Drosophila melanogaster: one gene and its partner. The protein of the gene in region 2 interacts with the protein of the main gene of each other region in a pairwise test. Each region holds a gene or a part of one and is shown on either strand. Other genes may lie near its edges. The genes, in order: SmF and SmE.

Evidence for each region.
Region 1: the proteins of SmE (region 2) and SmF interact in binary tests that used the Drosophila melanogaster proteins (3 or more experiments, as listed by UniProt).

Annotation. Positions count from the first base shown.
Region 1 is NT_033778.4:12,183,321-12,186,558, forward strand, and holds SmF (small ribonucleoprotein particle protein SmF), read right to left. Parts: upstream 991-3,238; 5' UTR 870-990; coding exon 603-869; 3' UTR 524-602; downstream 1-523. Other genes in the region: Cyp6g1 (cytochrome P450 6g1), read left to right, coding at 3,118-3,238. UniProt on the Drosophila melanogaster protein: Plays a role in pre-mRNA splicing as a core component of the spliceosomal U1, U2, U4 and U5 small nuclear ribonucleoproteins (snRNPs), the building blocks of the spliceosome.
Region 2 is NT_033779.5:7,884,374-7,887,275, forward strand, and holds SmE (small ribonucleoprotein particle protein SmE), read right to left. Parts: upstream 1,078-2,902; 5' UTR 971-1,077; coding exon 686-970; 3' UTR 557-685; downstream 1-556. Other genes in the region: CG7102 (uncharacterized protein), read right to left, coding at 1-208, 282-415, 1,935-2,097, 2,162-2,324, 2,555-2,679; CG34132 (uncharacterized protein), read left to right, coding at 1,276-1,431, 1,504-1,602. UniProt on the Drosophila melanogaster protein: Plays a role in pre-mRNA splicing as a core component of the spliceosomal U1, U2, U4 and U5 small nuclear ribonucleoproteins (snRNPs), the building blocks of the spliceosome.

The DNA of each region.
Region 1 (3,238 bases), on a different chromosome or scaffold from region 2:
CACATGGTGAACTACTTGACGGACCAGCACTGGGACGGCTTTTTATCCGAAACGCTGAAAAGTGAGATCGCCGGCAAGGAAGATGTGGCTCTGGCCATAGAAGACCTATTTTGGAAAACTGATGAATCAGAAAGGTTTCCGGCATGGCGAGAATTCCTAGGCAAGAGCAAACAAGAACGCCTGTCGCTTCAGAGGGTCAGGGGAACTCCACGCAGCTAAGCATTCGGGAGTTTATGAGCGCCAAAAAGTGCCATGAGGTAAGTAAACCAACCATTTTAAATGAGAGTATTTTAGGAATTGATTAATCTCTCCGATTAGGTGGATCTAACAGCCGTTCTCGTGGACCAGCTTGTGAAGAACTCCGGTCAAGATTGCTTCATTGTAGACGCGGGCGATGGCAAAGGGTATTTATCCTCGCGCTTGGCGCTCCAGTATGGTCACCGCGTGCTCGGCATCGATGCGAACGCGGCAAACACCGAGAACGCATTGAATAGGAATCGCAAATTGCAGGTAGGCCGGGCTTACAAAATAAAGTTAGCTTTATTTCATTACGTTTGTAGACTTAGAAGTAAGGTGTGGGTGTATGTAGGTGAATCCATTGGCTAGTCGCGCATTTCGCCCTCCTCGTCGTCGTCCTCCATGCCCTTGATATACAGCACGTTGTTGCAGCGGATGAGCACCTCGCCAAGATTACCAGTCACGGAGCCCTCGATCACTTCCTCCGTGTTCGCCAGCTGCATGTTCATGTAGCCGTCGACGGAGACCAGGAAGCCCTTGTACTCCTGGCCCCACTTCAGCTTCACCAGCACCGGTTTTCCCGTCAGGCCGTTCAGGAAGGGCTTGGGGTTAATGGGCATACCAGCCGACATTCTGTTTATTTGATTTTTCCTGCCTTTTTTATAAAATATTACAACAAGCGTGCCGAAAATCGCCGGCTTTTCGCGTTTTTTTTGTGTAGTGTGACCACAGCTGCGCTGTGTAAACATACCAGAACAAGAAGAAGAATAGCATAGAAGAAGAGTATTGAAAAACCATTCAAAAGCGCCAAAATTAAAATTTTATTTAATTTCAGCGCGCTTGGAATGGCCTTACGGAACGAGCGGAGCTGCAAGTCCAGGGAATCACGCCCAAGAGACGTGGTAAAAAGTCGCCAGCCAGGGAGAGCACCAAGAGTGCGCCTGCCTTGGAAAACTACAAGACAACGGCAAAGTTTATAACCACCGAACTTAACTTTGGTGCCCTGCTGGCGGAGAATTTCACTCAGTTTAGACCGGAAGACAGTCCAAACATTTGCCTTACTGGATTGCATACCTGTGGCAACCTGGCCGCCACCTGTCTTCAGGTTTTCCACGCCCAAACGGACTGCCGGTTGCTTTGTAATGTTGGCTGCTGCTATCATTTGCTGCGGGAGCGCTATTCGCAGCAGGAGTTCTTTGGCAATAAGTCCCTGATGGAGCTGCAAACAGACTATGGATTCCCATTGAGTCAGTACCTGCGGGAGCGACAAGTGCGAATGGGTCGCAATGCGCGGATGCTGGCGGCCCAGTCAATTGAACGCACCTTGGACACCAAGGAGCTGCCTAATGTAACGCTCTACTATCGAGCTCTCTTGGAGATTCTGGTTTGCCGCCATGCGCCGGAGCTGAAAAACGAACTGCAGGTGGGCAAGGTACGGAAATTCGAGAGTTTCGAGGAGTACATTCAAAAGTGTGCCACCAAATTGGATGCTCCCTGGTTGGCAGCTGTTGAGAAAGAAGAACTTCAATCCCTGCTCCAGGAATATGCCGTGCATAAATACTTCTTGGATCTGTTCTATCTGCTGCGCATGTCCTTTGCTCCGGTGCTGGAGAGTCTAATTCTCCTGGATCGCCTGCTCTACCTCAAGGAACTTGGCTATGAACGCAGCTATCTGATAGATTTATTTGATCCCGTCATTTCGCCCAGGCATTTTGCAATTGTTTCTATAAAGCAGCAAACGCAACAATAATGAAATTCACAAATGCATCAAAAGCTTGACGAGAAAGCCGGTTGTGTTTAATTATTTATAGATTATAGCGTGCAATACTTTTCATATCGTATATGTATTGCGTTAACGCTTTTAAAAATCTAACTAAACCATAGCACACAAAAAGTAAATAAGGTTGTTAAAACTAAGAATCATTATAATAAATGTAATCATGACTTGTAATTATCTTAGAGTCCCTCTGGATTTGCTGTGGTTTGTTTGTCGTATTTTAAAGCTTTTTCCACCACACAGGTGAATTTATAAGTATGCACTTGAAATTGCTATCTCAGAACTTTTGAGACTTTCGAGTATAAAAACGCAAACAACATTTCAAATCGCCCCAAGTGCGGTGCGTAGAGCTTTAATTGTCGGTTGTGTACGCGGGTGCTCAGAATTTATAGATCCAATAAAAGTTTCCTTGAAATTGCTGGACAAACTTGTTGCGAATTAGGCCAGTTGCAAATAAATTGTGTGACTAAAAAAACCTGTATATTTTCAAAGTAAGTTATGAAATTCGGTATACAAAATTGTATATTTTAATTTGAAAAAGTGTGATATCCTTGAAAAAACCACACTTAATATGGAATTGAGGGCAACTGTGAAAATTAAGATTACTTGGTTACTGTTACTGTTACTAAAATAAATAGAGAACTGGTTTCTAAGAAATATATTTTGGACATTTGCTCTATAGAAATAGTAGTCTCATGTATAATTAATAAAGCTTAGGACGAAATCCTTGCTGGCAAATTTTTAGTGTCATATTTGCTGCCCGAAAAGATTTTCTATTTAGCTTTACAAGCAGCTTAATTGGGTGTAGATATGGCGGGAATTACTATAAGCGTATCATAAACACTCATTGTAATGCTCCCTATCATAACTAATTGTAATTCGCGTTGGAATGGAAAAGATAATGCCAGCTAAAAATAATTAAGACGGCTGATTTAATAAAATCTAGGTAAACATGGGTAGCAAAACACTCTAGATTGCATTTGAAACCATCGACCGTTTCAAATGCGATCGAGATAAGATAATGCTGAGGGCACTGGCATTTGATTAATTGTTTTAGCGATTAATTTCAGAGTGGCGATACCCATTACATCGACATCCCCAAAATGGTGTTGACCGAGGTCCTCTTTGTGGTGGTCGCCGCACTGGTGGCGCTCTACACTTGGTTCCAGCGCAACCATAGCTACTGGCAACGCAAGGGCATACCCTATATTCCGCCCACGCCGA
Region 2 (2,902 bases):
TAGGTACAGCTCCTGTAGGTTCCACTTCCTCCGCGAAAACTTGGCTATCGATGAGAAGCAGACGCACGTGACCCATTACACCGCTTAAGTGTTGGCAGACACGAGCACGCTCCTCCTCAGTCCAATGTGCAGTGGGTTGGGTGACTCCTGCCTGGTATTTGGCCCAGGATAAAACGCAGCGCCACACTTCCTCCTCTTCCAAGCAGAACTATTGGTAGTTAACAGTTTTGGTAATTAAAGAAATTCAGTAAATTGAGTGGTTATTCATTATAAACTCTTACATAGTCTGAGGAAATAATCTTAATAATGGCATCCTTTGTTAAAGTAAGGAAGGCATTAGTCTTAACGCACTCATTTGCATTTTCCCCTATGTAGATGATGCAGCGTTCCATAAACGAGGCAGCGCATTTGGCACCTGAAATTTAAAGGGAAAGTTTAAAATTAATTCCTTGTTTTTTAAAGACACTCAACGGCTTTTACCTTGAGACAGCATCCTATTCTATATGTCCTGAAATCGGATCGTATTTGCTACCTTACCCATTAGAAACACTTGATTACAGAAAGTCTACCATTTATTTCAACATTCGTCTTCAGATATCGGCTTTACATTTATTTTACTTATATTAAGGGCGTTCAGCGTTTGCAGGTGGAATTCGAAGGATTCGCAGGATGGCCGCTGAGTCGCCTAGTCCTTCGTGGGACTGACGTTCTGTATGAGCGTGATGTTGTCGCCCTTGAGCATGATCCTCCCGAGGTTGCGGCGCTGCCGGGTCTTCACATAGACTTCCTCGGCGTCGTCCAGCACCAGATTCATGTACTCATCGAATCCCACAATGTGGCCCTCGATGCGCAGCGATATGTTCTCGTATAACCAAACTTGCACGCGGGACCGGTTCTGCAGGTAACGGAAGATCAGGTTGATGGGCTGCACCATCACCTTCTGCACCTTGGGATTTCCTTTGAACGACATTTTTGCTGATTTCCGACGACTTAATTTGAGTTAAACAAATTTTCGCTTCTTTTTGCCGGCGTCTTCTTTTCGTCCAGGCGATAGGCAGAAATATCGATGGCACAGCACAGATGGTCACACATAATCGCGGCCTACCGAACTATCGACCAGCCTAAAGATACCAAAATGGTAAATCCTCTGGTAGCATAACCATATCGATAGAAACACTATCACAATCGCACTGTTAAGTTTTTGTGGTTGGGCAGAAGTTGTTGCCATTTATTCATAGCTGAATTAAACTATAGTTTATAAAGAAAACCAAACAAATGGCTATGGCTAATGTGGACAAAGGTGAACTTATGGACCAGGTTAAGCAACAGATTGCTGTTGCGAATGCCCAGGAATTGCTCACGCAAATGACCGAAAAGTGCTTCAAAAAATGTGTCAATAAGCCGGGAACTTCCCTCGATTCGTCCGAACAGGCAAGCTATACATATCTTATTTTGCACTATAGAATATGTATTTAAATAGTATTTCATTAATATCCAATTTAGAAATGCATTTCCATGTGCATGGACCGGTTTATGGACTCGTGGAACCTCATTTCTCGGGTGTACGGCCAAAGAATACAACGTGAACAATCCAAGTTCTAAACACACGAATCGGCTTCTGCATTTTGGAGCAGCTTGGGACTAACTATATCTGCCAGCTATTGATTAGTTGTTATATCTAAAGTTTGATAATGCAATAAAAACATGCATTGCGTGTTACGTGATTCTGATAACACAACGTGCATATGTTTTTTCTTATCGATATGTGATGTGGTACAAAAAATACCAAAACTTTCAGAATGGTTAGTCTCAATACATTTGACATAGCATATTATGTAGAATGTATAAAGTGTTTTGGCGCGAATATGCAACTTCACATAATTGCTTACTTTTAAAGGTGTGATTTTCTAAAAGAGCTACTCAATATTACTAACCTGCTTTTTCGTGTATATCCATAACGGCGGTTAAAAATGTGCAGGCATTATCCACCGACAATGTCGATATAACGTGATCCTCGCAGGCAGTTCGTAGCTCAACCACACCGATATCCTGTGCCAATATCATCATTTGAAATACTTGCGAGTCCTGGAGAACCAACTGAAAAATGAATTTTGGTTATAATTTTATTATGTTAGATGTTACTAATAAGTAGTTTTCTTACCTTTGCGGTGTAAACGTACAAGATGAACTGCCTGAATAGTTCCGGATTCACGTGTGGTAATCGTATGGTGGTCGGAGTTGAAGCTCCTGGGGCTGCTGGCGATACTGTGCATCCGGGAATTCGACACACTTCACCTCTCTTCGCAGTCTTGAAGCTCTTGCACCTGAAATCGAATTGAGTGAATGGAAAGGCAAGACAAATTAATTAAGTGACCAACTGGAATACCCGGGATTCCAGCACGCAACATTGTAAGATTCCGAAAAAGGCAACCGTAGGCAATTATCTTATTCCACAGAGAAAAATTATACAGTTATTGGCATTTATAAGATTTTAAGGTATCACCAAAATTTATTAATCTCTTAAGTATTTGTTTGAAAAAACAATTTAACTTACCGAGCCATTAGCATTAATCTATGGGCATATATGCGCTCATCTCTGCCACAAATGAATACCACATCTGCACTATCCTGATCCTCGGAAAGGCGCTGCAGATCCTCGATCAACTGGGGCAGACTCATGATTGATTTTTATTATTAAGTGCGGTATTCTTGGGCTCAAAAAATTGCAATCATTCGTGCAGAAGTGCACGTGTTGCCTTGTCCCTCTGCAAGCACTGGGTTTTGTTATTATTTTGCGATTGGGTTTGTTTATGTTTTCAACTTGGAAACTCTCTTTATTTCTCTCTTTTAATCGCTGGATTCGTGGGAGCGCAGAAACCGGTTCCTGGCTGAAAATTCTTGG